Tribolium castaneum: one gene and its partners. The protein of the gene in region 2 binds, or shares a complex with, the protein of the main gene of each other region. Links are inferred from orthologs where the notes say so. Each region holds a gene or a part of one and is shown on either strand. Other genes may lie near its edges. The genes, in order: RabGGTb, temp and Ykt6.

What was found.
Region 1: the proteins of temp (region 2) and RabGGTb are in contact, whole or in part, in a crystal structure (PDB 6O60), measured with the Homo sapiens proteins. The link is inferred for Tribolium castaneum from reciprocal best matches to the Homo sapiens genes PTAR1 and RABGGTB. Residues at the interface, in NP_001093136.1 of Homo sapiens: Val61, Lys62, Leu65, Pro66, His69, Leu73, Arg76, Leu97, Asn98, Asp100, Phe101, Thr102, Thr103, Asn106, Lys109, Glu110, Leu113, Ile141, Arg144, Trp145, Pro192, Ser193, Tyr195, Ser199, Ile202, Trp203, Gln206, Val231, Ser232, His234; in NP_004573.2 of Homo sapiens: Lys6, Asp36, Tyr37, Cys40, Met41, Glu43, Tyr44, Ile89, Gly90, His91, Asp92, Asp136, Trp138, Glu140, Phe177, Asp178, Gly182, Cys183, Arg184, Pro185, Gly186, Ser187, Glu188, Ser189, His190, Gln193, Trp217, Glu221, Arg222, Pro225.
Region 3: the proteins of temp (region 2) and Ykt6 are in contact, whole or in part, in a crystal structure (PDB 6J7F), measured with the Homo sapiens proteins. The link is inferred for Tribolium castaneum from reciprocal best matches to the Homo sapiens genes PTAR1 and YKT6. Residues at the interface, in NP_001093136.1 of Homo sapiens: Glu31, Gly33, Leu34, Ile35, Pro36, Val48, Val50, Glu51, Lys53, Leu54, Gly55, Ser58, Lys135, Tyr191, His225, Ser228, Met229, His230, Val231, Ser232, Asp233, Phe298, Asp301, Leu302, Ser305, Tyr306, His309; in NP_006546.1 of Homo sapiens: Met1, Ser29, Phe30, Phe31, Asn83, Glu84, Pro86, Gln131, Asn132, Pro133, Arg134, Gln180, Phe184, Arg189, Ser193.

The regions. Positions count from the first base shown.
Region 1 is NC_087395.1:14,837,489-14,844,129, forward strand, and holds RabGGTb (geranylgeranyl transferase type-2 subunit beta), read right to left. Parts: upstream 3,589-6,641; 5' UTR 3,531-3,588; coding exon 2,529-3,530; 3' UTR 2,419-2,528; downstream 1-2,418. Other genes in the region: serine/threonine-protein kinase grp, read left to right, coding at 1-339, 523-917, 965-1,144; lipase member H-A, read right to left, coding at 1,192-1,249, 2,200-2,368, 4,931-5,122, 5,173-5,418, 5,505-5,653. UniProt on the Homo sapiens protein: Catalyzes the transfer of a geranylgeranyl moiety from geranylgeranyl diphosphate to both cysteines of Rab proteins with the C-terminal sequence -XXCC, -XCXC and -CCXX, such as RAB1A, RAB3A, RAB5A and RAB7A.
Region 2 is NC_087400.1:985,924-993,762, forward strand, and holds temp (protein prenyltransferase alpha subunit repeat-containing protein 1-B), read left to right. Parts: upstream 1-2,590; 5' UTR 2,591-2,810; coding exon 2,811-2,884; intron 2,885-2,931; coding exon 2,932-4,141; 3' UTR 4,142-5,782; downstream 5,783-7,839. Other genes in the region: centrosome-associated zinc finger protein Cp190, read left to right, coding at 1-1,237; uncharacterized protein LOC135266778, read right to left, coding at 2,504-2,590; INO80 complex subunit B, read right to left, coding at 5,804-6,199, 6,247-6,617, 6,665-6,668; MRG15 (mortality factor 4-like protein 1), read left to right, coding at 6,933-6,960, 7,010-7,127, 7,179-7,839.
Region 3 is NC_087398.1:3,639,778-3,646,321, forward strand, and holds Ykt6 (synaptobrevin homolog YKT6), read left to right. Parts: upstream 1-3,355; 5' UTR 3,356-3,506; coding exon 3,507-3,696; intron 3,697-3,745; coding exon 3,746-4,017; intron 4,018-4,062; coding exon 4,063-4,200; 3' UTR 4,201-4,320; downstream 4,321-6,544. Other genes in the region: stc (protein shuttle craft), read right to left, coding at 4,379-4,922, 5,006-5,955, 6,010-6,544. UniProt on the Homo sapiens protein: Vesicular soluble NSF attachment protein receptor (v-SNARE) mediating vesicle docking and fusion to a specific acceptor cellular compartment. Functions in endoplasmic reticulum to Golgi transport; as part of a SNARE complex composed of GOSR1, GOSR2 and STX5.

The DNA of each region.
Region 1 (6,641 bases), on a different chromosome or scaffold from region 2:
GTAAGGGCAAAGAGCGGCTTTTGGACCGCCGCTGTGGCACGAAGCCTTACTGCGCCCCTGAAATACTACTAAGGCCCTATCGGGCCCAACCTGCCGACATTTGGAGCTGTGGCATCGTTTTAATAGCAATGTTGACCGGAGAATTGCCTTGGAGCGACACATTTAGCGAAGAATTCGTCAATTATAAGAACGATAATTACATCACAGTCACACCTTGGAGCAAACTGGGCAATGCCACGCTCAGTCTGATCCGAAAAATCCTGGCAATTGAGCCAAACAAGCGACTGACGATTCAGGAAATCCTGAAGCACCCCTGGATGAAGTACAACTTTGACGACCGTAAGTTTCTTTGTTTTTGGTTCCTACAGGTGGGGGCCGATTTTGTTACTTTGGTAATTTAGCGTTTGTGATTTTATTTGAGTCATAAAGCTAGATTACCAAAGCAATGCGGTTGGCATTGCGTCGTGGAGATTGGAGTTGGAATAAGAAGACGTTCATTGTTTGATGGTTTTATTTGTTTAGAAAAAACCGATGTCGTGGACGATTCCAATTTGAATCCCGTTAAGCGTTTCAATTCGATGATGGAGACTGAAACTCGCGTGCATCGCACCAATCCGATTGTGATATTGTCTCAGCCGACTCCAGCCGTGCGTCCGCCGTCTATAGACCAGCTGGTGACTGATCTCAGGACAAACCGCGAACTTGTGTGCTTCTCGCAGCCCACTCATAACGACGATATGCTTCTGAGCTCCCAAATTCAATTCAATGAGACTCCACTCACCAAAGATAACTTTAATAATCTAGTTAAGAGAATGACGAGATTTTATGTTACCACTAATTACGAGAAAACTTTGGAAGTTTTGTGCTCTGTTCTAGATACTTTTCATTATAATTGGCAGATTGATGGCAACGGAGCTGTAAGTTTGGCAGTTTCGTTTGGGGCTTTAATAAGTCGGGGTTTCAGGTCACGATTTCAACTGTTGATATTATGAAAAATCAACTCATGTTTAAGACGAACGTCATCGAAATACAGGGGAAAATTCTAGTGGATTTCCGCCTATCAAAGGGCTGTGGTATCGAATTTAAAAAGAAGTTCAAAAAACTGAAAGAGTGCCTTGACGATATTGTTGAAAAAAATGAATAATTCTAGTTCCTTGTTTTTGTATTTTTATATTAAATGATTAAAAAATATTATTCGAACGGACAGTCGGAATTTGAGTGAGTATCCACGCAAAACATTCCTTTGATCCTGCAAAAAATATCGTACAGTGCTTTCATTTCAAGACTAGCCAGTCTCAATAATTTTTGGTATTGAGTAAATATTTTTTTGTGTCCATAACTTTTATGTCATACTTATTTCCCTTACTTCACAGTTTTTTTTTGCTTTGCTATAAGGTCTAGGGACGTTTATTATATGGTGTCCCATCGTCAAGATACGATGATTTTTTACGAGAAATGACATTTGGAAATTTTAGTGCACTAGTTTAATCTGTTATTATTCCATCAGCGAAAAAAAGGAAATTTTATTTGTTTATTTTTTGAGTTATTCATTGTAAGCAATTTCCTATATTTACAATCTATACAGCACGAGTGGAGGGAGTGCTGAAAACAAATACTACTCTTGTGGGAAATTATATTTTCCTCAACACGTCGATTTTAGGATTGATTAGTTCAAAACGAAAATTAATTACACCTTACGCTGCATCACCTACTTTTTGAACCATTTTGACGGGGTGGGAAAACGTTATCTTTCCGTAAAAGCAAAAAGTTACCAGAACACCTTAAACGACATGTTTTTTCGATACATTCAGATGTTTCTTAAAATAAAACATCCCTAGCTTATGTACGCATCGACAAAGCTTATTTTACTACGGATAAATAGTTTTTTCCACGTTTAAAAAAGTAGTTTAAACGAGTTTACACTACCTTGGAATCATCATATTTCATTTTTTTTATTAAATTTGTATAAAATTGGGGGCTACTGGGATCAAAACTCAAAAATCAACCTTGATTTGAAAACAAAGCGCCAACTATTCAAAAATGTTTCAAAAAATTAAGGGGATTTAAAAATTTACTAAATAAATAACTAAACTAATTGAGCTGTTTTTGTTTGAAGTAATATTTACTCAATATCAAAAGTTATTGAGACTCTAGTTTTAATTTGAAAGCAGTGATAATGAGTAAGACTTGAATACCCACCCAAACGGTGTGTCTTCTCCCATGGGGACCGGCTTCCCGGGCAAGTACCCCCAATTTGAGGACTTCTTGGGGCAGGTGGTGACACACGGCCGCCCTAAATGCGCGTTCGTTTTCCGTATAGTTGTGGAGAAAAAGCAGGCACTTTGAAAATGGCTACACCGGGCTCGACCTAAATCATCAAAATCAATTATGCGGACCGCAGTCCAAACAAAACACAAATCACTTAGAAATCGGCTTTATTATCATTATAAAATTAAACCAATATACATTAAAATCACGTGCGGGCTAAAACTTATCAAAATTAGCATATAAGGTTGGATCTATCAATTTTAATCACGTAATATTTGAGGCGATAGTTGCATGCTATCAATAACGTGTTGCGGCATACAGTAAGTGGGATTGACGTTTTTGATTTCGGCTTGGCCGAGCAGCGATAGGGCCGCAAGGCCGAAAACAGTGTGATAAGGGTCAGGCACGTCGCCAGGCCGGTCTGCGAAGCCCCCAGTTTCGGTGTCTTGACACGCCAGAATGAATTTTTTTAATTTCTCGCCACTTATCCAATGAAGTCGCCCCAAAATAGTCAAGGAGGACAAAACCCACCACGAGTAGCAAACGTCGGGGAGCTTCTCCGGCCGGCCGTTGAGGCCCCCCGACGGTAGCTGTCTCTCGCACAGCCACCACGCTAGAACGTCCCTCTTCACCAAGTCAAGACGGTGGGTTATTGACAAAAACCCCAGACAACAGTAAATCAACCCCGCGTGGCTCTCCGACAGCGGCCGCGAGCCGAACCCTCCGTCGAAATTCATACAAGACTCGACAAATTTCACGGCGTTGTCGACGTCAACAGCGTCCAGTCTCTTGAGCAGAGACAAGGTGGCCACCGCACAAAACGAAAACCTCGTATCAACTTCGCCCCATTTGTCTCCCGTAAAACTTCCGTCGGGTTGTTGCAACGACTTGACGTATTTCACAACAGCCTCGACATCAATTGCGTCCAATCGGTCGTACATTGCTAAAATCTGAACGCCGCTCAAAGTGTGGAGCAAATGTGGGTCGTGCCCCAAGCACGCACTGATTCCGCCCGTTTCCGGGTCTTGGCAGTTTTTGATATAAGTGACGATCTCTTCCTGAGGCGAGGAATGTGTCTGGTCGAGGAGCTCCAGCGCTGTTAAGCCCCAGTACATGCCGGAAACGCGGAGGTAGTCCGTCATACCGAACTCGAAATTGTTGTCGTCTTTGCCGTAGTCCCGCAGGAATTCGATGTGTTTGTCGAAAAGTATCGTAACTGGCGCATTTTCTTTCAAAATCACGTCTTTTATTGGTGTTGCCATTGTCAAACATAACCACAATATTTGCTGTCAAGATGACAAGTGGCGTGTTGGGGTCGGTGGCTTGGCAACACTGACAGTTTGAAAAAGTTCAAAATTTTTGCCGCCCGTTTTGAAAACCTCATTGCTAGTCAAACGGTGAAAGTAACCAGTAGTTTGATTACCAAGGTAGCATTCAATCATAAATGCGGTCAGATTAATCGATTATTGCGAAGACGAAAGTAATAATAGTACAGGTTTCACTGTTTTTCGTTTCGTTTCAAAAATTTCCATTTATGGGAATTTTTTAGTTTTTTTCTCTCAGTGGTGATAATGGAAACAACTGGCGATTACTTTAGATATAACGAAATAAATAACACGAATTCAGACGAGTTTTCTGCGTTTCTTTTTATTGATTTCGCAAATTTTATGCATCCCTATCCTCGTCCATGTTTTCCACTTTTCCAACAAAAACACCGAAACATGTTGGCTTTTTATTGTCCCTCAAAGCAAAGGTTCCAGCGTGTTTTTTCACTTGTTTAAAATTCGTTGTCAGTTAAATAATGCAAATTAATTCGTTCCAATTGTAGGTGCTGAAAAATGGCAAAATTGCGTGAAAGTGTGAAGAGCAGGAAAAATTTTCCACCAACACGCTAAAGCCACCTCTTACACAATTAATTTTCCTCGCTAATATCAACCATGCCTGTCAGATTGATATTTCATTTTTTCCTCTTCTTACAGCTTTTTTGTCATGAAAAAGTTGACAGTGTCGTCTCTTCAAACAGAGTTTTTAATTAACAAACTTTGTTTTGAAGGGTTATTTAAAACGCGAATTCCCCTCTAACTCGAGTTTGCGTTGGTATAATTGATAATTAAAATGTTAATTAATTGGGCATCGAGGAGGAGACTACGAAAAAAAACGAGTCCCTTGAAGGTTTGTTGCCTGAAATTCCTACAGCTATTACACAAGTCAAGTTAGCCTCACGTTTTGTGTATTTTAGGAGATTTTGAGATCTCATAAGCCATTTTGATGAAATTTTTACCAGATATAATATTCGCTGCAGACGATTTTTTGATTGGGTGCCGCTTTAATTTCTTATTATTACCTCATTTTAAATATAAAAATTTTGATAAAAATTTACGAAGAAATTCCCAGGACACGCTTTAGCTATTACCCGTATCTTTTTTAATTGTAGACATGCAACTATCAAAATCGATTAAAGTACAATAATTAAAATTCTCACCGATTTCACAAATCAGATTAATTATTGCCTCCGTTCGTTTATCTTTAACAACTGGGTCATTATTACTGCATTTACTGCAGCGAAGAAAGCCGACCGAAGCCATAAGTCATGTCAGCGTTTAAAAAATATCGCACAGATAATGCCCCGGACTTTGATAAATTAATTGCTCCAAATACTTACGTAAAATGTGCCCCTTGCACCCCGGCTGCATCTGCCCCCCGTTGACGCAGAAATCAATATGGCCCACTTGATTGACCTCCCCCAGGACCCCCGCATTGGTATGAATGACTTGTACTTGGTGGGCATCGTCTTTGGTGAGTCTGAAGTACTTGTCTCCGTATCGATTGATGAGCGGCCGCGCCGGATCCAGTCCTGGATAAGCCCAACTCAGCTCGCAAAAAGTAACTTTTGTGGCAACCTACCGACGATCTTGTGCTGCTTGACGTCCAGATGGTTGCTTATCATGCCGCAGATGTGCGCCCCCAGAGAGTGGCCGACGCAGGTCGTTTCGCGGGCATCGCCTCCGTTCTCCATTATGAAAGCGTACAATTTAGCCGTACACTGACTGACTAGCTTCATGTTTGATAAGGCCGATAGGTAGCAGGGAAACTTCGCGAGCGGCATCCAGTCGACCGTGAAGATGTTGTAATCGTTGCGAGACAAATACGCTGCCGAATTTTAAATTAATTAACAAAACGCCGAATTCGTGGCGTCATGCGGTTTGCGGAAGAAAGCGCTGACTTCCTCCCCTTACCGTTTCTCAGGATGGTCATGGGGGTCTTGCTCTCGGTCCCGTTGAAGCCGTGGATGATGATCGCGTTTTTCCGCGAGGGGACGAACCCGGAGTACTCCAGCGAGTGGTAGTTCCTTAAATCTATTCTCAGTCTTCTGGTGCCCGACTCGCTGGAAGAGAGTCAGGGTCAATATTCGGCGATGGCCCGCTTCGCTCAAAATTCGCAAAAGTGTGTTAGTAGTGTGAGCGAGGCTGGTTTTTTAATTTTATCCCTGACTAGAGTCGGAGTGAGGTAATGAAAAGGAAACAAGGTTGCTTTGTTTTGCAAAAATGTAAGAGTGTAACGCAAACATCTTAAAGCGTTGCAAAAGCAATTTGATCTATTAAGAGCAGAATTGCGCCTTTTTACTCCAAGCTGAGATAAACGCGAGAGATTTTAATTGAAATATGTGTAACTCGAGCTAAAATGAAAGAAAATTCAACTTGAGAAACTAGTTCAAAGTGTTTCTGGTTTGTTTCTCTTGACTTTGCTATTAAAAATTTAATTGTGTTTATTTTTGAATGTGTAATTATACATACGGTTGATTCTTTCACATTTCGTCATAAAACAGCGTGAGATTTTTTAAATTGGCCAATGTAACGGTTAATTTTTTGTGTTTTGAAGAAGTTCAATACTTATCCGGACTGAAATCCTGGAATCTTTAGCATATTTTCTTCGAATATCTCACGCATTTTATCTCCATTATAAATTTATATTGTGCATTCTGAATATCTTCACTGATGTTGGAATTTGTCTGCTTATATTATTGATAAATACATAGTTTGGAATCAAATGCAAATATTTGTATTGACTGGATTGACACTTAATTTTTTTAATCAAATACCTAGTTGAAATTAAAAATGAAGTTTAAATTAGCAAGTTGTCATTGTTTTAGTTTTCGATCTTCATATCGTAAAATGTTTTTTCATATATCGAACGGAAGAAAATAAAAATACGAAAACATTAGTAGTTGTTTAACAAGTTTGTTAACGAGGACGAGTCATACTAGTAATATTTTCACATTTTAAATATAATGTGATATATCTATCCAGACTTATTAACAGGAAACCAGCAGGAAAATATTGTATATTCTTAAAAAAAAATCGTATGAAGTTAAT
Region 2 (7,839 bases):
TTTCAACAACCAAACGGAACAGCCCGAGTTTATTCTCCCAGAATTGTCCCAAAATCAAAACGAAGTTATGACCCCGCAAGGGGTCCTAACCCAGTCAATGCTCTCCTCAGGTGATATAACTTCAACTGATGAGTTAGTTATGGTTCTAACAGACCACGATTATGGCGATAACCAGGAAGAGATAACCAATGATAATTCCAACATTGTGGTTCTGTACAGCCACCCAGTCGATGGGCAACAAGACCAGTTCATAACCTCCCAAGGCAACATCATGGTTAATTCACAAACCGGTCTCATTGAAATCAGAAATGGGGCAACAATTACATCGACGGCGAGTCAAGTGGTCATGAACCCGCCCGAAGCACAGATCGAGTCAATTGAAATGATCCAGAGGGAGATTGAGAGCCACGGTGGCGAACTGAAGGAGGAAGAAAAACCAATTGTTGATGAAGAAAAGGAGAAAGAAGCTGTAGTTCCGCCAAATGATGCCCTCATTGAAAGTTTAACACAAGGGAGCCAACTCGAGTTCACCTCACCTTTGACCATTGAAGAGCCGGAAAAACCGGTTGAAGAACCGAAGGAGACCGAACAAGAAACAAGTGACAAAAAGGAGGAAGAAACGGAACAACCAGAACCTGCTGACAAACAAAATGAACAGTTGGAGGTGAATGAAGAAGAAAAGGGGGGGGAAGAAGAGGTTGCCAAAACGGACGACGTTAAGGAGGAAGAAGAAGAAGAAGAGATTAGTAAAACTGACGAGAGTAAGGAGGAGGAGGAAGAAGAATTGGGGAAAACTGACGACAGTAAGGGGGAAGAAGAGGGAGAGCGGGATGTAGTCCCAGCCCCCACGCCAGAAAAAGGGGAGGAAGAGGTTGAGAAAAATGAGACGGAGGAAACAGCAGTGCAACTGTTGGAAGAGACAAACACGGAAGCTTGTCCTATGGAAATAGAAGAGGAGAAAACAACGCACGAGGAAAATAATACAGTGGAGCAGGAGTTGTCACAAAGTGACACGTCCACTAGTCAGTTTAACGACGAAAATTCCCAGTCTTCGCAAGATTCGCAAAATAAGGATGTAGAAGCGACGAAAATATCCATCTTGGACGATTGGGAAGATACTGATTCGCAACAGTCCGATAATAAGGAAAAGGAAAAGGTTGCGGGGGAAACGGTACATAAATTGATGGACGATTGGGAGGAGGAGGAGGAAGATGATAAGAAAGATAGTGAAGGATGAATTTGTAAATAAGGATTCACTATATTATTAGAGGTCGTTTATTTGTAGGAATTGTCAAGCGTTTTATCAGTTTACTATACTTTATAGTTTTATTTACAATAAATATATTTAAAAGAATATGCGTGTTTCTTTATTTTCGTTTAAAAACATTTGGCGTTTCAGTGGCCCTGATACTAGTTCTGATTTAAATTTTTGGAAAAAAATTTATCACTTTAGGATAATAAATTTTTATCGAGACTTTTATTACGATCCTGGAAAAATGTTATTAGGATTAACAGGAACGTGAAGGTGTTTCGGGTTTTACGCGAGAAAAATTTGAGGTTTCCTCACATTCCTATGATCCTAATACAAAACCGCCATTTTTTTTAAATTTAAATTTTTAGCAAAATTTTTCCACGTTTAACTTGAAAGACCTCTTCGCTTTTCTGTGCTCCTGATACATGTCACAATATTTTTAAAATTTAAATATTTTTTGAAACTTGTATTAGGATCACAGAAACGCGAGGAGGTCCTTTGTCATAGGCGGAAAAAATTTTGCAAAAAATTTAAATTTTTAAAAATGGCGATTTCGTATTAGGATCACAGAAACGCGAAGAGGTGTTTCGGGATTTTCGCGGCAAAAAAATTTTACACCTCCTCGCACTCCTATGATCCTAATACAAAATCGCCATTTTTTTTTTTAACCGAAATGTTTACAAATTTTTTTCGCGTATGACAAAAGACCTCTTCGCGTTTCTGTGATCCTGATGCAAGTCTCGAAAAAAAATTTAATTTTAAAAATATCGAGACTTGTATCAGGATCACAGAAACGCGAGGAGGTCTTTCAAGTTACACGTGGAAAAATTTTACCAAAAATTTACATTTAAAAAAATGGCGATTTTGTATCAGGATCATAGAAATGCGAGGAGGTGTAAAAATTTTCCCGCGTAAAACCTGAAACACCTCTTTGCGTTCCTGTGATCCTAATACCATTTTTCGACAATTTGAAAAATTGCAAAATTACTCTTAAAATCCACAAAACGAAAAATTTGTTTACCTGCTTCTGATACATACCCTGGAAAACCTCCTCACAGATTTATTAAGAAATACACCTAACATTTTTTTACGAGTAATGAAAATAGTAACTGTGTACTTTTGATAATTTGATAGGTTGGTCGGGTTTGTGTAATAAAGAGCCTAATGGTTTTTTAAGTTTATTTTACAATAAATACAGTACAATCACTTAGAACAAAAATCAGAATTGCCAACCGAATCAGTCATTCTGGATCACTCAGTAGCTTCGCTCTGTAGAAATCCTAGAAACTTTTTAGCCGTCATGTTGGTGCGTCCAAAATTCCCAACAGTGTCCTTTTTCTGTAACAAACCACACAATAAATCGGATTTATTAGCAAACCTTCGCCTAAAACTAATGCAAACCGTTTGATATTAAAAATTCCCGTAAATACCCCAATTTTTGCGCAAACGCGTGCCAGTTGCCACCCCTGTCCCCCAAATGTCAATTTGACATTGTTAAAAAAAATCCAAATATTTTTTGATTTCGTTTATCCCGCTCTGAACCACGACCACAACCGAAATGGAAGACGACAATTCCATGTCGCAGCGCATTTTACACACACTGGAAACCATCCTAACCAACGACCCCTTACTGTAAGTCACCTCCCCTAACCGCACTTTCTCCCAACTTGAACTTCCAGCAAAGACTTCATAATAATCCCGTGCGAAAGCAACACAAAAAACAAATCGCCCGTCTTGTACGAAGAACACAACATCGGACTCGAATCATGGTGTGTGAAGCACATCTACCGATACGCTTATCTAGAACTGTTCGAAACACGCAAACTGCTCGCAAAACGCAAACTCTCCTTCTCGAAACAAAACAACCTGAACCGCCTCCTAATCGGAGTTTTATTAATAAACCCCGACGTTTCGACCTTTTGGAACATGAAACGCGAACTGGTCGAAAACGACGTCATTGGCGCCGCCAACGAGCTCCTCTTCGCCAGACTCGTCCTCTCGTACAAGAGCAAATCAAACGAGGCGTTTGCGTACCGCCGCTGGCTCCTGGGGCGCACCTTGGCCAAGCTGCAAGCCAACGACTTGACAACCCCCCGGAATTTGCTCGAAAACGAGCTGGCGGTGTGCGAAATGGGGGCCCAAAAAAACGCCAACAACTACCACGCTTGGAGCCACCGCGTGTGGAGTCTCGAGACTCTGGGGGCCCGCACCGCCAACTTCAACGTGATAATGGACGAGCTTACCTTTAGCGAAAAATGGGTCTCGGGACACGTGTCCGAACACACGGGGTTCCACTACAGACAATACTTGTTCAACACGGTTAGGAAAAGTAGGAACATTACAAGCGTATACGAGTTTTATTTTTGCGAAACCGTCAAACTGTTAGGTTTAGTTGGGGAGAATGACCCAAGAGACATCCTCACCTTCCTGCTAGGGAAGGAGAAATCGCAGGGGAAACCCCTGGAGGAGACGATCAATTTCGTCAATTTCTTCTGTTTGCTACTCTATGACCTGTACAACGTTGTGGAAACGCTAAACTCGCTCTACCCCAACCACGAGTCCATATGGTACCACCGCCGGTTTCTCGTCTACCATTTGGTTAAAACCGCCCATGAGTACCATGGTTTGGCGTTCAAAACCGACGTAAAGCTGGACGAAGTGATTTTGTACGGGACAAATATCGTTAATGTGGACGGGGAAAAGCAACCAAAACTGTTCAAAAGTCAGCCAAATAAAGTGCAGTCGTGTCGCTTGTACCAGACTTTGGTCAAGAACGAAGCTGAATTCATTCGGAAAAATCTCGTACAATCGGCACAATTTCACGAGCTTGAGTTGGCAAGACGGTACGAAAAGTGGCTGAAATTCGTCGTTTGCATGGAAGATGTGTGATCAATGTACAGGGTGCGGCATGGATGTCGAGAGAGTTTAGAGAAAAACGAGTGACACATTCACGGGTCAAAACCGCATCTCGCTATCGTCTTTTGTTTTCGACTTATAAACAAAAGTTTATTTTTTATATCTTCCTTATTATAAAAGATACACATTTGAACCAAAGACGTTTACAGAGAATTTAGTAATGTTATCAGCGATTTTTTTTAATCATTCCTTTAGCTGTAATAACATAAAGTTGTATTTTTTTAAATGAGAATCATAGTTGGCTATGACATTTTCGAAAAGCTTATTTTTTTCTGATTTGATATGTCCATTTGTGTAATACATTAATTTTGAATATTTAAGAAAAAACAAAAAATTTCGCTTTTTCTTTATAGTAGGCCATGAAAAAATTTTGGATTTTTAATTAAAACTATGAAAATTGTATTACCCAACAAGTATTTATAATTTAATGTTTTTTTGAACCCTAATTAATTCAAAAACAGCATAATAAATTTTTATTAGATCAAATTTTTGCAATTAATAAAAATTATTTGTTTTTATATTTAAAATGGCAAGCTTACGTTGTCATTCTATTTTCCAATTTTAAACAAGAAATGTCGGAAGAAGAAAAATCTTATTAATTGTATGATTGCGTATCAATAAAATTTTATTTTACAAAAAAATGTCAATCCAAACACCAAAATCAAATTCCATCTGCGGTAAAAAAATACACAACATTATCAACGTCACCTCCATTGCACTAAATCATAAAAAAGTGGCATCAAGTGGTAGTGAGACATCGTTTGCAATTTTCTGCACATTTTTTATGTAATTAAAATCTGCGACGTTCGTATATTTGTTCAATTGAAAATAACTTTAACTTATTTTTATAATTTCACATTTTTTACTTTAATATCCGGTCACAAAATTTCTAGATTATTTACACCTTTTATGTGAAATAATTTTTCCATGGCCAACTACTTTCAAATATTTTAAATATATTTTTATCAAAAATATATAAAAATATCAAACTGTATTTATATCGTCTTTAGTTCAGAAAAAATAAGCTTTTCGAAAATGTCATAGCCAACTATGATTCCCATTTAAAAAAATACAACTTTATGTTATTACAGTTAAACGAATTTTTGAAAAAAATCGCTGATAACATTACTAAATTCTCCGGAAAAGAGTGCTTGTATAATGTCTTTGTTTCAAACGTGTATCTTTTATAATAAGAAAGATATGATTTTTTTAAGATTTCGCTAAAATGTCAATTTTTGTTTATAAGTCGAAAACAAAAGACGATCGGGAGATGCGGTTTTGACCCGAGAATGTGTCTCTAATTTTTCTCTAACCTCTTAATTTCGGACACCCAAAAAGCAGCACCCTGTACAAACGAACAGTACCTTAAAGTTTATTTGTTTAAGATGCACAAATTTCGGGGAAGTTTCCCGCTAGGGGCGCCCCACACGTGCCAAAATAGGTCAGATAGACAGAGTCACATACAATGTTTCCTTCCGGTAACAATAACTGATCAAAGTGGCCTGTGATTGGCTCGGGCCACTTTGATTCGAAAATTAATACGCGCCATCCAAGTGGCCTAGTCACAACCCAACAAATGTAAAACAAATAAATTACCGTATCTCTGACTCAAAACTGGCCTTTTTTCCCTTCCCCTCACAAAATCCGACTAGCGATATTCCTTTTATAACACGTTAGACTGCACAGCGGTGCATTTGTCCGCGAACAGGAGTATTTTTTCACATTGCCACAGCCCATGCTACACAGTGTGGCTTTCGGGGGCTCTTTGCCCCCCGCCCCCGGCAAGGGCCAGTCCATCCCTTGCGGGAACGACACTGTCGTTAACCCAACATTCTGACGGTACAAAATCATGGGGGTTTGCGCTTTGGTGATTTTGTTTTTCGCCGCTTTGGCCGCCTTCGACTCCTGCTTTTTGAGCAGCCTTTCCATCGTCTTCTTCTTATCCTTTTCGCGCTTTTCGTCCGCCAGTTGTTTGCGTTTCTGCGACTTGATCGCCGCTTTTTGAATCGCTTCGGCCGTCATGACCTTCTCCTAAACCAACAAGTCTAAACTATTTGAATTGAAACAAACTGAATTACTTTATATCCAGTCGGGAGCGACATTAACGTGGGGGTGGTCACAGAGGGGCTCCCGTCCACCTCACGCTCGTACATGGCGCGCTGTCGCGCCGTCATCAAGGCCGGGTCCTTCGGCTTGATTTTCTTCAATTCGTCGTCAACATCCTCAAGCTTCCCGGACTCGATGGCAGTGAGCCACCGTTCCTCGTCACTTGAGGCACTGTCGCGTTTTTTGCGCTTTTTATTACCAGAGGACGATGCGGACGGGGGCTTGTTCACCGGCGACTTGGTTTTAGCACCAGACTCGTCCACTATGAGCAAATCACCGGAGGTGTCGTCCTCCGGCAAAGGGGGCCTCCGCTTAACCTTACTTTTCTTCGATTTCTGCAACTCTAAACCCACGATAACACGATCAGGGGGCACATTTAAACAAACTCACCCATTCCAAGCCAAATTCAAACGCCGTCTAAAGCTAGGTTATGTTGACAAAATGGCGTGACCGTAGCCACTTCTGGCTTGTAATCAATCATAATTAACTAACCCTGGCACAATTTCGCCCCAAATCAATCATCAAGCAAATAAATGTTTCACAAAATACAATAAATAACAAATAAAGGCACCGGGACGCGTTATAACCGGCACAAATGTGCCGGTAGCCACAACCAACTGTCAATTGTCAAAACAAAAAAAATTGTTTGAAGCCGAAAATGCCCCCCAAGTTTAAATTTTCCGAAGGTAAGACACGTGGTCGCCCCCTTAAGCCGCCCAAACACCCCTTTTCCAGGCGAGAAGGTTTTGTGCTTCCACGGCCCGTTGATTTACGAAGCCAAATGTCTGAAGTCGACCATAACCAAGGACAAGCAAGTGAAGTACTTTATCCATTACGCTGGTTGGAACAAAAAGTGTGTAAGTGTTTTCGGGGGGCCTTGTAATTGACAGTCGTGTGTTTGCAGTTGGGACGAATGGGTGCCCGAAAGCCGTGTCCTCAAATACAACGAGGCCAACGTTGCGAGACAAAAGGAGGTGCAAAAAGCCCACTCGACTCAACCCAGCAAGACGAAAAAGGCCAAGAAGAGTAAAACCGACGCCACGAAAGACATTGACTCGAGATCTAGTACCCCAAATAATGAACTGATCAAAGGGGGGAAGAGCAAAATAAGCACACCGTCGAGTGGGCAAGACTCGGGTTCAGACGTGCCCCGGAAGAAAAGGGGGCGGTTGGACCCCTCGGTCGAGTCCGAGGAGCAATTTTTGAATAAGGTTGAAATCAAGGTTAAAATCCCTGACGAGTTGAAACCTTGGTTGGTGGACGACTGGGACGTAATTACCAGACAACGAAAACTCGCAAATTTGCCGGCAAAAGTCACAGTCGAGCAAATTCTGGACAACTATCTCGCTTACAAGAAGTCAATCAAGTCGAATAATTCCAGCAAAGAGTCGGCTACGATTGAAATCGTCAAAGGCATCAAGGAGTATTTTAACGTGATGTTGGGGACGCAACTTTTGTACAAGTTCGAGCGGCCCCAGTACGCCGATATCTTGCAAACCTACCCCGATAAGCCCATGTCTGAGGTGTACGGTGCCACTCACTTGCTCCGTCTGTTCGTCAAGCTG
Region 3 (6,544 bases), on a different chromosome or scaffold from region 2:
ACAGACAAATCTACCTTGAGTCAACGACATAAATTTCAGTGAGATTTATTGAAAAATGCACTTCTCGTGTCAACCTTTTCATGAAAAAGGGTGTTTAAACGTTTATAAAGGGTATGTTAACGTGTGTTGTTAACTTTACCACGTAATAAAACATAAAGTATAACTTGGTAATTTTTTACTTTAACTACTTCTGGATTTTCAAGCTGAAACTTACACCAAACGATTCCTCTGAGTGCCCTGATGACCGTACACTATGAATTTTCTTGTGCAAATTGAAAATAACATTAGAAAAATAATTTTTATTTTCACTCACTTTTTACTTGAATCGCCATTTTTGTTGATTTTAATTTGAGTTTATTTTTTATAATATCACGTTAATTTTTATTATTATAGTGGATCAAGGTGTCGTCTTTAGGTTAGACTATTGCCTACTATCGGTTAGGAACAACATGATCTCCAAAAATATAACGTAGTAATGAGCTCCAGAAGGTTTACGTAGATAGGTGCGTTTTTCCCAAAAGTGAGTTTTTTGAGATCGAACCGCAAGTGAGTCACACTGCGAGGAGACTCCCATAGACAGAAGTTGCAAACATAAGGTGCCAGACCGGTGCCAGTTTGGCTGATTGCAAGTATGTCTTTATTTTATCATCGATTCGGTGACCACTATTAGTTTCGTAAACTTAATGGATTTAATAAATATCTTTAACATTAAATGTGATCGTGTCATGTTGGGTAAAATTCTTCCATCTGTGCTGTCTGTGCATCCACCTTTTCAAATACAATTAAGAAATTTTCATAATAATTGTATTTGATAAGGTATTGACATCATTTTGACGTGAGCAAAAATTAAAAAAATATAAAGTAATCGGAATTATTTTAAATTCGCGCCATTTTTAGTACGTGATGATGCGGCTAGATGGCTTCAGCTAGGAATTCATTGCCAACCATTATGTTCCGCTTCTATAAAAGTGTTATCCTAGGGATGACATCCTTGGCACGCTTGGCACCAACACAACAAAATGAAACATCCCAAGCAATTTCAAAAATTTATTTGTAAGAATTCGCCTTATGTTTGGGTAAAAACTGGAAATTTTCGGGCACAGGCCCTAGGAGCATTTCGCTGATTTTGACCCAATCGCTGGCCGACGTGGACGCCATTAACGTCTCAAGGTCGTCCCGCCCTTGGTAGAAAGGGGGCCGCTCGTTGATTTTCTGGGGCGGTTTTTCCAACAAACCCACCGGAACATATCTGTGCAAAAACGACAACCACTCCAATAAAAAGCGTCTCGTGTTTTCCACCCCTTTATTGTCAGAACCCCAATGTTCCAAGCCGTAATTTGTGTACTTTTTCAAAAGATCGAAACGTTCAGAACTGCTAATGTCCCACAATTTTTGTTCCTTAATTTCGGTGAAAATCCAGGGCTTGATGAGGGCCCCCCGCCCGATCATGACCCCCGCCAATTCGGGGCACGTCTCACGTGCTATTTTGTAGTCTTCGTAACTCAAAACATCGCCATTGCCTAGAACCGGCAAAGGGGCTGCCGCCTGGGCCACCTGTCTGATGTAGGTCCAGTCGGCGAGTTTGGTGTAACGCTGCTCACGCGAGCGTCCATGAATTGTGATAAGGCTAGCCCCCCAGTCGCGGAATTTCGGGGCCTACGAACCAAATAAAACGTAGAAAAAATGTATCCAACTCGTGAGTAAAGTATCTCTTTTTAGCTCGTTAAAAAAGTGTTACTTTACGCACTTGTTGCATAATTATTTATTTACCAAAATATGCGCCAAATTTTCGTTACTATAAACCCCAGTTCGGGTCTTGACAGTCATTGGAATTGTCAGTAACTGGCTGAGATTTTTAATACAGGACTCCAAAACTCTTTGGCGTCTTAACAACCCACAACCGCCCCCTTCTTTATACACTAATTCAATCGGACACCCTAGATTTAGATCGATAAAGTCAATTTCGGCCTCTTGTTGCAACACTTGGCCGCACTTGGTCAACAAATGCGGGTTGTTTGCGCACAATTGAACCCCGAAAATGTCCTCACTGTGGTGGCGCTTCACCAAGGCCCACTCCTGAGGGGCCCCTTGCAGAAGCGAAGAACACATTGCCATTTCACCGCAGGTTACATCAGCCCCGAATTCTTTACAAATTCGTCTGAACGGTAAATTGCCAACTGTTGTTAAAGGGCTCAAGACTAGTTTGTCCCTCCAGTCGATTTTTTTTTTTTTCTCGTTGAGTCAATTTAATCAAGTCTTCATCACTAATGGCCCCACTTGTTTTATTATCGTCCTAAACACCCAAATTTAAATAAAACGAGTAAAAGTAGTACAAAATAATTACACTTTTCTTATTGTCATTGAATTTAATTAAACTCTCGGCGAAGTCAAAATTATACGTCCGTTTGCGTAACGCGACTTGTAGTTCGTGCGTTAACTGATTTTTTGCTTGCGCTGTTTCTACCAATTTTTCCGAATTGATTTTATTTCGGCCTTGGTCAATGTGACTAGAACCAAACCTACAAGCCAGACCTCTGCCACACCGTCCGAAAGTTTCATAATTGTAACAAATCTCTCCTAAAACCAAGAATTAAGCCCAAATTAATGCACAAGCACAAATAAACCGATATCTTTTGGCTTGATTTTCAAATATTCGTCAACGTCGTGCAAAAACTGGCAATTTTTGCGTTCACATTTCGGCGCCTTTTCGCCAATACTTAAGTTAATCAAAGTGTTACATAATTCCGTCTCTCGGGTGCACCTAAAAGTAGGACCGCGCGATTTATTCTGACCCCGTAATTTTTTCTTTTCGCTTTTTGATAATTTGGGTTTTTTTTCGGGCGGTGTCTCATCGTTTTCGGCCAATTTGCGTTTGTCTTTATCAGAAACGCACTCTAATGCCAATTCTCTTGGACGTTCTGTGAGAATAAATCTAAAATAAGGGTGAAATGTGGGGTTATATCACGTGGGAAAATGAGCAGTCTTACTCGGGCTTGATTTTGCAAATGCCGCTGTCCCCCATATTACCCTACTTGCGGTGTTAATAGAAATTAGACGTGTTGGTCAAGCATTAATTAAAATCTTTAATTATTTAAAACTTTTATCAAAATTGACAGCAGTAATGGTTGTTGGTAACCGTGTATGGTTTTGGTTACCAAAATTTTGGAAAATACAAGTTATAAAAACGGGACAAATCAGTTCAAAGCGAAAATCACGGGTGCTGTTATTTGTAATTTATTCTCTTATATGATTCCGTTTTTAATTATTATCCTATTCAATTAAAATAGGAAAATAGGAAGGTTGGTTGACCTGGCTCAACGTCATCCGTCAGTCAAAAATTATCACCTGTCAAATTTTATTATTCGTTCGTGTTTATTGGCAAATTATGTTTGTTTAATTGCTTTGGCGTAAATCCTATTCGTGATTTAACTTTTAGAAAGCTCAAGAAATGTGTACGATGGCATGTCTTATATAATTCCGTTCTAATTCCCGAAAAATCGTTAAATATGGTCAAGTTATACTGTATTAGTGTTTTGTATAAAGGACCTACGAGTGCAACATGGTTAAAATCAGCCTTTGACCTACAAAGTTTCAGTTTTTTTCAACGGGGATCAGTGGAAGAATTCATGACTTTTTTTTGTAAAACAATCGTCGAGAGAACAATACCAGCGTCACGACAGTCCGTAAAGGAAGGAGGTTTTTTCCACAAGCATTTATTTACACAAATAATGTAACACTTTTTCAGAGTATATGTGTCACGTTTATGTGAGATCCGATAATTTAGCCGGCGTTGTTATATCAGATCACGAGTACCCAACACGGGTCTCACACACTTTAATTACAAAGATTTTGGACGAATTTAGCCAAAAAATCCCGGCTTCAAGTTGGCCCAATTTAACAGAACGCGAAGTGGCGTTTCCGCAACTCAACACTTACTTATCCAAATACCAAAATCCGCGCGAAGCTGACGCTATGACTAAAATTCAAGAGGATCTCGATGAGACTAAAATAATTCTAGTAAGTGGTTGTGTCAAATGACAATTTCCACAACTAATTTTCCAGCATCACGCAATTGAAAGTGTGCTTCAACGCGGCGAAAAGCTGGACGATTTGGTGTCAAAGTCGGAAGGTTTAAGTATACAGTCAAAGGCGTTTTACAAAACGGCTCGCAAAACCAACAGCTGTTGCACGTTTAGTTAAATCATTCCTTATTTACCCCAATTATTTAACAGCCTGGAAGTTTGGATGTTCATATATTATTCCTACTAATAACCGTTAAATGTTGAATGTATATTTACGACAATAAATGTAATGACCGGATTTTTACAAACCAATTTATTAACCTTCAAAAATACTAAACATAATACGTTATAAAACATTACACTGGGGGGTTATCGAAATAATCCACGGTCTCTCCTGATGGCGTTCCCCTCTGCCCCCTTCCAGGCAATTTCAAGGCAACGGTCTCCGACTTCCCCAACGTCCCTTTGCTCAGAACCGGCCCTGGAACCTTCCTCTGCCCATTTTCCCTCTGAATAAACTCCAATAGACTCATACTCGGCAACCACGACTTGTCCTTAAAGGCAGTTGCAACGATATTTCGGTTGGGTTCCGCATCGTAGGCGGCGCTTTCACACCCAAAATGCTCACAATACTCGTGCACGAAATGTCTCTTATCTCTGTTCATTGACTCAAAAGAATACGAACGACTCTTTTGTTTACTCTGCTTAGCCAATTGGACCAACTCGGTGAGCTTTTCGTGCACTTTTTGGCAAAACTGCGGGTCTTTTTTCGCCCAATTTCGCATAAAATCGGAGTAACGAGGAGTCAGTTTTTGACTCAAATCCGGGTTGCGAATCTGCAGACCGATAGCCAGCCGCCGGTTGCGCTCCAGAACCCGACACTCTTCGGTGCACTCCAATCTGGAAAACAAAAAAAATTTTTTTTTATTATCTACGAACTTTTTTTTGAAATAATTACAATAAATGCAAAAATATCTATTTACATTTTCAAAACCGACGGCCTTTTGGCTTTGTTGATATCGCTGATGTCCACAGCTTGATCCTTCAACAAATCGGCCATTTTGTCCTTCAAATGCGCCATTTCGATCTCCTTATACGCCTCAGCCAACTCGATGCAAGGCCTTGTTGCTTTCTGCAAGCCACAGGGGCACGTGACCGGCACCATTTGCCTACAGGGCGTGTCAGGACACGGCCCTTCGTGACACGTGACCCCGCACGGATGCCCGCATTGGACTCTCTTCACGTTACATTTCTGTTTGCATGGCAACGTACACGCCCCCAAATGACACGCCTTGTCACACTTATGTGCCCCACACGGCATGGCCTTCCCACACGGTAATCCACAACTGAAATCCTCCTGATAACAGGGAATAGCCGATCTCTGCTCGTGTTTGCCGTAACACCACCTCTTGCACAAAACGGTACACGGTGGACACGCCCCTGTGTGGCACGCATGATTGGCTTCGTGGCCACATGGGCGTGGCCTGGAACATGGATTATTGCAAGGGGGCGGTTTTGTGCCGCATGGAATGGGCGGGTATAAGACGTTAGCTCCGCATTCGCAATACAATTCGTCGAAACTTGTTTCCACGCAAGGTGGGCACCGCCCACTGTGACACGTCCTCTCGCAACGGTGTTGGCCACAAGCGAGCATGTGATTGCATGGGAGGGGACAAATGTGTTCGATTTCGATGCAACAACGTTGATTGCATCGGTGTTTGCCACAGAGGCGTTTCTTGGTACATTTTTTCTCACATCGGGCATCGTCGGCTTTCGTCGTTACTTGTCCGCAGGGGATTTCCCGGTCCATGTGACCGCAACGACAACGAATCAAGGTCGTAAGGGGGCATGGGGGGCACGGACCCTCGTGACATGGAAGTTTGCAGGAGTGGGGGGCTGCCGGTTGCCCACAATTTAGGATTTTCCCACAAATCTATAACAATTTATTAAATTAATCAAAAACATAATTTAATTCAATCATACTAACTTTATCACAGCACGGTATAGGATCCAGACATGATTCTCTTCTCTTCTTCAATTCGCTCCTCCCACAAGGACACGTCTTAACCACCCCCACATCTCTCGGACACGCCTCACAATCCCCCTCGTGACACACTTTAGTGCACGTGTGATTCCCACAACTCAAGCCCCGCCCACAAACCTCCCCACACGAATAATTCACCGCTCCTTTAAACTCCTCCCTACATTTCACTTTACGCCCCACCTTCTCACAATAACAAATCTGTCTCAACTCTCTATCGCATTCCATACATGGCCCCACGTGGCACTTCGCCCCGCATTCGTGGACCCCACATGAGAGTTTTTTTCCACAGATAGCGCCACAAACAATTTCGGTATCAGCGCTACATTTGACTGTTTGTGTGGTGGCCCCACAACCGCAGGGCTTTGCCACCATGACGTTGCAGTCGGGACAGGGCCCCGGGTGGCACAGAATGGTGCATTTGTGGTCACAACGGCGCGTTTTTTCGCATAATTCGCCACAAGCGTGCGGGACTACGCCT